Daphnia pulex: one gene and its partners. Each later gene encodes a partner of the first gene's protein in a complex. Links are inferred from orthologs where the notes say so. Each region holds a gene or a part of one and is shown on either strand. Other genes may lie near its edges. The genes, in order: nuclear pore complex protein Nup214-like, PCI domain-containing protein 2-like and nuclear pore complex protein Nup85-like.

Region 1 (3,754 bases):
AAAACATATGTCAGGATGGCCGAGCGGTCTAAGGCGCCAGACTCAAGCAGGTGCTTGCCAAACTAAAACTTGGTAAATAGGAATTCTGGTCTTCGATAGAAGGCGTGGGTTCAAATCCCACTTCTGACAATCATTATTACAAGGAAATATTTTTGGATGGCACGACGGAGAAACAAGCTGCATACAAACCAGCTTCCTACCCTAGCCCAGCCTATCCTTTCGTACTCCTCATACAAACCTCTGCATACAAGCCCGCATCCATATCTCCGGCTTATCCGAACTACCAAGTAAATATCATATCCTGGCTTCTTGCTATAATTGATACAAATAAAGAAATAAAAGTTTTAAATAAACGATTAGTCAGAGTTTACTAGCAGTAATCTTTTTTCTCCCTGCGTCGCTTAAAAATGAATTTATGCGCTACGGCCGTATGGCGTCGCTGTGTCGCTGTTTCTGAATCTGATCAAATTAAACCAATAATTGTTTATTTGAATAGAAAATTTAAAAAAAAATAATTCCATCTTTTGCGGACTGATAAAGAAAAGGGATCGAGATGAATGAACTACACACAGGTTGGGATGAGGAAGTGAGTCGGATCTAAAGTTTGTCCTAGTTGGATATTCTTTGTCTAATTATGCTAGACTAAGGTTACATGAATTATCATCCAATTGAATCTCTTGAAAAATAATAATGTCCAATCGAGCCAGATTTGAGCAGACCGACCAGAATGTGTAGCCTAATAGATAAGGTGCCAGTTTATCTTACTTATAGATGTTAAGTTATTTAGAAGTTAAGTTAAGTTAATTTTGTTTGTTAATTAGTTCAAAGAGAGACTATTTGCCGTATAAAGAGACCGTGCACCACGATCAGATTTATCGTATATTATATAGTCCCTATTTGTAAATTTATTCCTCGAATATGATTCGTTTGATCGAATGTTTATTGTTTAATCGTTTTGAACAGGGTTTTCAATGAACCAAGTTGATGAAAATATTGTATCTTGCAATTTGGTTGACGTATCACGTAAGCCTTCCCTTTTGAATATCTTAACTCCACTATAGCCCCAAAAGTGATCAGAATTGGAAACACTACCCCTCAGCCCCTACCCTTTCAAAAAAAAGAACCGCGAGTTATTACAATTTAAAAAAATTCAAATTGCTTTGATAGATGGCGTTCACTTGTCACAAGCAGACAGGCAGTGAGGCACTCAAACAGTTAGACATTTCATAAAATTTCGACCGGCTTTGGCTTTGCAACAAAATAAGGTTGAAAGTGCGGTGTGATTTTCTATCCGAATATTACATTGATTATTGAAACTGATAATGGCAAACGTTCCTGATCCTGTTGAAGTCTTGGTAATTTTAAAATACATTTTTTTATTGTTTTCTTTCAATTCAACCAATCTAACTTGTAACAACAGGACTTCAAAATGAAACAGCTGTGTAAGTTTAGAGTCACTAAAAAGGAATATGATGTACAGGACACCACATCATTGCTGGCTACTTCTAATTTGTTTGGTCTGATCTTTGTTGGGACACCTGACAAACTTGTTGTCATCAAAGTTTCAGATCTTATACAAATTGACAATACAACATCAAAAAAATCAGAAATATCATCATTTCCCATCAAGGAAATTCTTTTACCCAACAAACCTAGTTTTGTAACACTGAGCTCTGATAATCTTACCTTAATGGTGTGCCTTCAAAAATCTGGATGCTCAGTAGGTTGGATGTATGATGTTCGTGGATTTGCAAGACAGGTATGATTTAAGGAATTTCATTTTGTGTGATTGAAACAGATTTAAAATCTTTTTCAGTCAGGTGAATGGAATCCCTTCCAGGAAGTCAGGCTTTCGTCTACTGATGGAGTTACTGTGAAAGATTGTGCGTGGAACCCTGTTATACCAACTCTAGTAGCTGTCTGTCTTAGTGATGGCTCTTTAGTTGCAGTGGAGATCAACAACACTCAATTCACTATAAATAGCCTTCCATCAAGTACAGGAGCCCAGTATGTGAATATCCTATTTTGTATGTATGTTATTTTCTTAATTTTATTGAATTATTAGGTCAGTCTGTTGGAGTCCCAAAGGAAAACAGCTAGTTGTGGCCAGGCCTAGTAAACTAGTTCAGTATAAGCCTGATTTAAAGGAAGCCAAGACTATAGCGTTTAGTGGTAGCGATGTCCATATGACTCAGCCAATGGTTTGTGGACTTCAGTGGCTTTCTACAACTCAGTTCCTTGTAACGTTTGTTGATCAAAATGAACCCAATTCTCGTCCCCACCTCTACATAGTCAACGTACAAAAATCGGGGGCAACAACTTTCATAGATTATGACGATGTTTGCTACGGAAGTCCGTCTGAAAGACCACACAGGTATACGAATTTTTTTCATTTTATTATCAATATAATGAATTTTGTTTCTTTTTTAGTTATCTAACATTGAGTTTATCCCCATGGAATGTGTTATTGGCTTGTTCAGCTAACGCAATAGAAGTTGCCGTACTAGCTCAAACAGGAGCTGGAGATGCTGATCACCCTGAATGGAGGCAATGGGCACTAGAAGGTGAATGGCGAGCTGAACTACCATTAAATGAGAATGCTGAGACTAACCCGTTGGGAATGGCCATCGATACCACTAGCCAAATTCCAATCAGTTGGGATGACAATCAAACTTTACCGCCCGCACCCATTCTTTTCATACTCAGCACTCATGGTCTGCTTTGCCCGTTTCATGTTATCAATCTAAAGAACGGTGCTGCCAAATTCAATCAGGCTCCTCAAGAATTGTCGGTCACTGGTGAGAGACCAGCGCTTAGTGGAATTGGTCTCAAGGCGGCTCCATTAGCAGCTTCCACTCCATTACCTGCTGCTGGTAAAATTGCATTTCCTAGAACAAATCTTGGAGAACGATTTGCTGCATTTGCGGATGCTCCTTCCTTAGCAGTCCCAGTTACAACGAAATTACCTTCAAATCCGCCTATTTCGGACTCGTTTTTGGGCAACAAACCCCAACTTCAACCTGCCTTACCTTCAGTGACGAAAGTTGCAACTGCACCTGTTGTACCAGCTGTGAAGATAGAAGCGGTTCCGGTTGTCCCGAAAGCTACTCCACTTACTGTCAAACTTACAAGTCAAACTCCAATCGCAGATGAATCTAACATCCATTCATCCATGGGCGCTGCCGCTGCAATATTACGTGACGAAGTGGCCAAATTCGTTCAAGACTTGAAGGAATTCAAAGCTCGTTCGTTGACTTTGAAAGTTACGATCGCGAGTGATGAGGAGAAAGAACGATTGTTAAAGATGACATCCGATCTGGCTGAGTTTGGTGTGGATCTGGTCGATACTACCAAAGTGCAAGACGAAGAAGTTCGAGGCTTGTGCACTGATTTGGTAGAAGTTGCCGCCCTTTTGGAAGATGCCCGTGTTCGACGTGCTCGTCGCAAAAATTCTCATTTCTGTCATTTGCTCAAGTTACGGCCTCTAGATCCAGGCAATCGCAGAAAAATGGACGGCATTGAGCGCTTGCACGTTCACATAGAACAGCAGCTTATAGAAGCTTCACGAAGCCTAGATTCGATTAGCAGAGACCGTACTAGAGACACCCGCAAAATTGAAATCCCAATAACTCAGGTAAGCTTGTTTTATTATTATTATTACTCTAAAATATTCAGCATCCTATGATTTATTTCATCTCAGGTTATTTATGAAGCAATTAGAAACAATACGAAAGTAATATCACAGTTAAAATCT
Region 2 (3,429 bases), on another chromosome or scaffold:
AGCCGAAAATCTAGAAGGGAAATATTTAAATTGGACCTTTGAAAATCCGTGTGCGAACGTATGGAAACGAAGTTTCCCTCCTACTATTTGCACACGTGATGCACTATATTTAATTGACTGTCAAAATAGGGCCACTGGGGCTCGTTGTCGACTAAAAGCGAATGATACAAAAGAAAAACTAGTAGTCAGGGGAGGCCGAAATAAGAATAGATCGGAAGTAGAAAAAGAGGGGGGAGAGAATGGAAACACGAGTGGTTCGGTCCACTCTTAAAGTAGAGCTGATTATTATTGACCATTCGCTGCTGATGCTGCTGTATCTTTTTTTACAGGGTTTAGCGTAAACCCGCCTATATACACACACACTGCAGTGTGTGTGGACTGCCCGCTGAGCGGCTAATCTATGTACTCAAGAGTTTTAAGCCATTTTGACATGTTTGTTCACTCTCTCTCTTCATACTTCTTAGTGAGGTATGAAATCATCTTAGACTGGCGCCACGCTTTTTAATTAGTCTGTCCAGGAGGTAGTTGATCCTTGTTTTTTTTTTTTTTACTTGGAACTCCTCTGTGCAATTTATATGTTATTGGAATCCCGACTCAATGTTTTATACATTTATACAGTACAGTCCTGCGTCAATTGTTTTGTTGGATTAAATCACATGCATTATCTCAGTTGTTGGATATGCATGATATGGAACCAGTTCTTTCTCAACTCATTCTATTTATGTTTATGTTGCGGCATGTTCAGTCGTAAAATAATATAATTCTTATTTTACTTTGTGGTTTTTCCTCCCTTTCGAGATCGAAAAACTTTGATAACAAGCGCGGCGTAAAATTTGAAATTGTAAATATGTAATTCAACTTGTTACCGCTAGATGACGTAAGAGTTTCTAGCAGACGAAGAGCTGAGGAACAATTCGAAAGCGACCGGTCGGCGTGATTATTGAAATTTTCTGTCAAATAATATCCAATTGTGTTTCGCCAAAATTAGATTTCTGTAAGCCACCGATGTCCAGTTTTAAGTTAGTCTCGAAAAATCATTTCTAAGACACTAAAAAAATGGCTAACTTGAATTTGAATCAATATTTACGTGAGGTAACACAGCGCGTCACAAACAGAATGCATTGTTTACACATCTTTAGTTGATTGTTTTTATTTAAACTATTTTAGATTCAATCTTCATGGCAATCTCGAAGTGGAACTGAAGTTTCAGTAAGAAATTCAAAATTAAATTTCTTGTAAAATCATGCTCATGCAATACTTCACGTCTTCTTATTTTGAAACCTTTAGGAACTCCTGTCATTCAATCACCCACATGTTATGAGCTCCAAACTTATTTTGGAGGGATTTGAAAAGTCTGTTGAAAGAATCGTGGAAGCTCCTTTTGATGAGATTGTTGTCCTTCATCTCAGGTATACAGTTGAACTTTCATCAATTTTAAATTTTGGTTTCAACTTTCAATTTTACCATCTAGATGCTTAAGCTATATCAACCAGCAAAAGTATTTAGAAGCATACTCTGAGCAAAGTGCTTTGGTACAGGCGTTTACAAAGCTCTTTCAGACACAGAAGGAAGACAACTGGGCTTTATTCATCATGTATGTCATAAGTTTAGATTTGCGTATGTTTGCAATCAAAGCAGACAAAGAATTGGCCAAAAAAGGAGCAGACAAACCAGGACAAACACTTGAAAAGGCTGCAGAGTGCCTCATGGGACTTTTTAGAGTGTGTGCTGCTGACAAGTAAGAAATAACATTTTGCGACTTATGTAGTAACTAGGTACTCATTCTTTTGTTTGAATTTACAGTCGGTCATCTGATGAAGATACAAAACGCTGGGGAATGCTGTATTTGGTCAACCAGCTGTTGAAAATCTACTTTAGAATAAACAAATTGCATCTTTGTAAGGCTCTTATTCGCGCAATTGATGCCTCCCAGTTCAAGGACCAGTTCTCCCTCAGCCAACAAGTGACTTACCGATACTATGTCGGCAGAAAGGCCATTTTCGAAAGTGATTTCAAAAGCGGTGAGCAGAGTAACATAAATTTCTAAAAGATAATCAATTCTTATATTTAATTTCGCATTTAGCTGAGAAATATTTATCCTACGCGTTTGAGCGGTGTCACAAGAACTGCCGCGCCAACAAACGACTGATTTTAATCTACCTGATTCCCGTCAAAATGCTTTTGGTATGACTTTCATTTGTTGTGTACACATAATGCGATGGAAAACGGAAGGAAGATGCTTAACGTATTACATTTCATTTAAAGGGTCATCTTCCTACAACCCAATTGCTGAGAAAGTATGACCTTCTACAGTTTAGCGAAGTGGTGCAAGCTGTTAGGGAGGGTAATCTCCGGAGACTCAACAATGCCCTTCTTCAACACGATGCCTTTTTCATTCGCTGCGGTGTTTATTTGATTCTTGAAAAGTTAAAAGTCACCACCTACAGAAACTTGTTTAAGAAAGTGTAAGGGATTTTATTGTTGGTGTTGAAAGATGAGCCGACATGATTTCTTTTGAATTTATAATTTTCAGAACTTTGCTCATGAAAACTCATCAAATCCCGATCGAAGCCTATCTTGAGGCCTTAAAATTCATGGGAGTTGAAGACATAGACTTGGACGAGACGCAATGTATAGTGTTACATAAATTAATGTGGCTTTTATAGAATTTGATCCATTTCTTTTTATAACGCAGGTATCATTGCAAACCTCATCTTTGAGAACAAAATCAAAGGGTACATTTCCAACAGCCACAACAAGCTGGTAATCAGCAAGCAGAATGCGTTCCCATCGCTGGCTGCTATCGTATAAGTTGGATCTAATATCTCTTACACACACCTGTTTTCGCGACTAATTGAAACAAAATAATAAATTTCTTATTGAACGAATTGTTTCTTGCTTCCTATTTTTGTATTAAGTAATAGTTTTAGCTGTTTTCTTGTTTCAAAGTCTTACATATTTGTGTTAGGTTTCACCTGACTACGCTATTCTACACCAAAACTGAGTGAATCTCAGGTAAATATTCAAATTTGTTTGTGACGATATTCAACGGTTTTTTCCCCCTAAATCTTAAGGATGATATCTTTTAATTGACTTGTCCAATCGTGGCCCTTTAGGAAGACGTGTCGGGGTGTACAAATTTCGGTATCCATTTTTAATCTCTCCACTCTATGGTGTGTCGACTTGTCCAATCCTGCCGCTTCACAGGCCTCGGGGAATTTCGCCGGTGATGCCGTAGCTAGACAAACGAATACCTGTTTTCCCCTACAAACCAATAAAGGTGACCGGAAGAAACTCATTAAACCGGATCAAGTACATGGGGAGAGAACAAAAATAAATACTCACCTCTGATCTACGTTGAAACAGTAGGAGACTGCCGTTGCAGTGTGGGGACAAATAACATAATTGTATTTGCTATGGCAAAGTTGC
Region 3 (3,754 bases), on another chromosome or scaffold:
TGAATAAAGCAAAGTAAGTAGTTAAATAATTACTATGTATTTTTCTTGAAATTACTAGCTAGTATAAACATTTCAGCTGAATCCTGTCTACTACTAGGTGGTTTCACAACTTTGACTTGAGAATAGTGTAATGCAATCTCATTCTCCAGTTGTTTGATTCTTCCTCCTGCCCATAATTTTATCAATAGCGTAGCTCCGTCCATAGAGATTTGTTGCGCGTAACGCAGCACTGAATATGCTAATTCTAATATCCTATCTTGATCCAAATCTCGTATACCCGATGCTGCAGGAGCCTAAATTTAATTAGCAAATATTAATTGAAATAATTTAAGGTAAAAAAAAACTGAAATAAAATCAGCCCTACCATATCACTTAGGACTGCATTAGCAAGTTGCCCACCAAGTATTTCTGTTATTCTGGTCTGGGACAAACTTTTTGTGAAATCTAATGGAGCCAAGATTACAGCTCCTTCAATTGGGTACCTGAAAGAATAAAATTGAATAATGTTAGTGAACTAAGGGTACCAAAACTTTGCAGCCCTTTTACATTGGTTGAAGATCAACTGCTACATGCTTTCCTTTAAGCTGAGAAGACACTGCATGAAATCCATAAACATTCTAGTGTCATTTTAATTAGGCTAAATAGTTAAACAATTCAATCTACCTTTTCCTGTTGCATTAATTCGTTTTACACATACTTGTGTCCAAGCACCAGGTGCAGCGCCACATTCTACAACCACATCTCCAGGTTTAAGGAATTTGTGTTTGTCATCAATTTCAATCAATTTAAAGGCACTTCTAGCTCTTTCTTGGTTAATAAGAAGTAGTAAATATTAGACAACAATTAAACTGAAGCTATAGCCTGTTAATTGAAAATATTGAAATCATAATTTTTATTTGAAAATTACTACCTATAATTTTCCATTTTGGCTTTAAGAACATACTCGTCATTCATTTGCCGAGTTAGCCATTCTTGAGAACTTTTACTGCGGCCCTTTAGCCGATCGGGCACTTTTTTAAAGCATGTTGAAGACGAACAAAACTGTCTTACTGAACAAACGGCAATGTTCATAGCAAAAACTTTGTTGAAACGGATATTTTAATATGGATCAAATAAATTCTTCAGGTGAAAAGCGATAAACAACTTGAAAGTATTAATGAAACAGCAATATAACATCACCTAATAAGATCAAGTAGACTATGATATTTTGTCAACAAACAAGCAGCCACGAAAATTGAAATTTCCGCTATCGACATTCGGCAGCACAGGTCATAGTTACCGCCGTAACCATGGCCATTGCAGTATGGTGTAAAACCGAAGCAGCAGACGACAGATTAGAAATATTTCAAAAAAGTACTCGTTACGAGTTCTGACTGTTAGTTGAAATCCTTCTGAATCCTACACACAATTACGATTTGTGACGTGATTTTCACGCATTTTACAGAATGCTTGAACCTATTGTAATAATAATTTCGAATTGTTCATGGTATACATATTTGTAACCAAACTTTCTTTGTTTTAGGGAATACAAGATCCTCTATTTGCATACAACAAAGATGTTGGGCATTCTTGGGGTTATGGTAACAGCTTGGCTGTATTTCCAACAGAATTTTCCAAGTCGATCACCTCTGGTAAGTTCTTTCTGGAAGTTAGCCAAAAAACTCCTACTAAGTTTTTCTCAATGACAGGTCCAGTTAGTCCCCAGACTTGTAAGAAGAAGCTTTATACAATTTCTTGGGAGCGAACCTTGTACAATCCTTTTGTTCGCAAGCTGGTCAATGAATCCTGTGGAGCATTTACTTCTTTACAAATTAAGGCTGGCACAGATGGCCAAATCAGCTCATCTGAGTTAATTAAATCCAGTCATCAGTATCGTTGTATAATGAATGCATGCATTGAAGATTTGAACCAAGCAGCAGATCTTGCTAACAGTGTTGAATCTAATCAAGCACTTCAAGAAATGAGTGAAATATTTTACAAAGCTGAGTTGGTGTGGAATTTGTGTGAAATTCTGTATCTTGAGAACCCACTTGGAATTCTGCCACACCTATTAGAATGGATTCGTATTCATTTTCCAAATGCAGTAGAAGAAACTGGTACAGTTTTAGCATCACCAAATCCTGGACTCCATGAAAGCTATTGGAAAGCTCTCTATGGACTAGTGTTTCAGTTACGCTTAGAAAGTGCTACCAAACTGTTAAGAATTCATCCTGATTTCCAGAGTGAAGCTTTTCAGAGTGCATATGAGTTGCTGAAGAAAATGCCAGTCTTTAGTGTAAGAAAGTTCTTGTAATTTAGATAGATTAACAATTTTTCTATCTCCTAAGTATTTCTGTTCTATTTAGGCCAACTCAACTGTTTCTGCTCCAGAGTTTACCTTCAGATGGAATCATTGGAAAGAAGAATGTGAGGCTCGCACTCAAGCTGGAGATTTCTTCGAATCAAAAGATTTAGAACTTCTAATGGAGGTATATAATGTTTTATATATAATGATCTCTTAATTCCCATTTTTATTTTCATTAGTTTATGTTGTATGTCTTTTGTCTAACTTACATAAACTTTCTATTTACTTACGATAAAGATACTATGTGGCAAAGAAGAAGCATTTGAAAAAGTTGGCGATCATTTCGAAACTTGGTATCAACGAATGATTACTCAGTTAACGTTCACGCAACCCACAATTGGAACGTTATCTTTGGGAGATGAAGCCGAACAGTTTTTTGCTTCCTTAATCGGATTAGATGATTTGACGTCACTAGATGCAACACTTTTGGCCGTTCTTCGTCGCGACACGCGTAAAGTGAGTATCGCTGTTATCAATGGATAAGAGTTTTAAGCAAGTTTGATAAGAGTTCATGCAAGTATCAAGACACTACCAACATAATTAACTGGAAACGTTTTATATCTGTTCAAATTTGTTGTCACAGGTGATTGGAGAAATGCAAGGAGTATTGGATAATTCTTGGTTTACGGCACATCTCGCTGATTTATTGTATCACGCCGGAGCACTTCAGTCGTTCGAAGACATTAACTCACTACAGCTGAGAGAAACTTTGCTTCGTGACTACTCGATTTGCTTATTTAGCCACCAATCCTTGTGGTCGGTTGGTGTTCTCTATCTTGACCATTGCCCTAATGTTGGTTCTGCGACTCTGGAACACTTGCTCACTCGACTTCCGTGCCAGTCGGAAATGAAGGCAACCAAAATAATTTCACTTGCCGAGCGAAGAAAACTAACATCAGTGGTAACTTCCGTCTGTCGTGTAATGGGTCGACGGGCCTTGGCCAATGGACGACTTGGTGCGGCAGTCGCTTGGGCTGTTAAGGCGCAAGACGCTCCTCTTGCTACCTATGCCGCCGATGCTGTTCTGAAGAGTTACCTTCAAGATTCAGATTTTACTTCGACGGACTTGCTAGACTCACTGGGTGCTGGACTTCTTGCCAGCGATCGATTGGCTTTCCTTGGGAAATATCGCGAGTTTCATCGTCTTTACAATTCAAACGATTTTCATTCAGCAGCTGGCCTTTTGATCTCTTTAATCTCATCACGGATTGCACCGAAATAGTAAGTAGCCTAACCACTAACCATGTTATCATAATTGCAGCTGCCTAATAATTATTGAAATTTCGTTTTCAGCTTTTGGACCGTTTTGCTCATGGACGCACTACCATTATTAGAAACAAATCCGCCAGTTTTCACTTCAGAACAAACTTACGAATTAATGCAAAGTCTACAGGAGTTGACGTCTTCGTT

Evidence for each region.
Region 2: nuclear pore complex protein Nup214-like (region 1) and PCI domain-containing protein 2-like share a complex: the UniProt entries of both Drosophila melanogaster proteins name them as parts of the nuclear pore complex. The link is inferred for Daphnia pulex from reciprocal best matches to the Drosophila melanogaster genes Nup214 and PCID2.
Region 3: nuclear pore complex protein Nup214-like (region 1) and nuclear pore complex protein Nup85-like share a complex: the UniProt entries of both Drosophila melanogaster proteins name them as parts of the nuclear pore complex. The link is inferred for Daphnia pulex from reciprocal best matches to the Drosophila melanogaster genes Nup214 and Nup75.

What each region holds. Positions count from the first base shown.
Region 1 is NC_060027.1:5,448,714-5,452,467, reverse strand, and holds the start of nuclear pore complex protein Nup214-like, read left to right. Parts: upstream 1-1,170; 5' UTR 1,171-1,322; coding exon 1,323-1,355; intron 1,356-1,420; coding exon 1,421-1,759; intron 1,760-1,816; coding exon 1,817-2,007; intron 2,008-2,065; coding exon 2,066-2,374; intron 2,375-2,430; coding exon 2,431-3,634; intron 3,635-3,700; coding exon 3,701-3,754. UniProt on the Drosophila melanogaster protein: Part of the nuclear pore complex. Serves as a docking site in the receptor-mediated import of substrates across the nuclear pore complex including emb, RanGAP and phosphorylated Mad. Protects mbo/Nup88 from proteasomal degradation at the nuclear pore.
Region 2 is NC_060025.1:7,986,170-7,989,598, forward strand, and holds PCI domain-containing protein 2-like, read left to right. Parts: upstream 1-882; 5' UTR 883-1,056; coding exon 1,057-1,092; intron 1,093-1,167; coding exon 1,168-1,209; intron 1,210-1,287; coding exon 1,288-1,409; intron 1,410-1,471; coding exon 1,472-1,738; intron 1,739-1,803; coding exon 1,804-2,021; intron 2,022-2,083; coding exon 2,084-2,184; intron 2,185-2,265; coding exon 2,266-2,465; intron 2,466-2,533; coding exon 2,534-2,631; intron 2,632-2,695; coding exon 2,696-2,811; 3' UTR 2,812-2,888; downstream 2,889-3,429. Other genes in the region: threonine synthase-like 2, read right to left, coding at 3,063-3,264, 3,346-3,429. UniProt on the Drosophila melanogaster protein: Required for the export of nuclear mRNAs and involved in mRNA trafficking in the cytoplasm.
Region 3 is NC_060023.1:4,665,877-4,669,630, forward strand, and holds the start of nuclear pore complex protein Nup85-like, read left to right. Parts: upstream 1-1,303; 5' UTR 1,304-1,445; coding exon 1,446-1,460; intron 1,461-1,522; coding exon 1,523-1,631; intron 1,632-1,688; coding exon 1,689-2,275; intron 2,276-2,345; coding exon 2,346-2,468; intron 2,469-2,581; coding exon 2,582-2,800; intron 2,801-2,927; coding exon 2,928-3,565; intron 3,566-3,637; coding exon 3,638-3,754. Other genes in the region: rRNA methyltransferase 2, mitochondrial-like, read right to left, coding at 33-293, 365-482, 547-595, 664-803, 911-1,071. UniProt on the Drosophila melanogaster protein: Component of the nuclear pore complex (NPC) that seems to be required for NPC assembly and maintenance. Required for nuclear import of phosphorylated Mad via importin msk.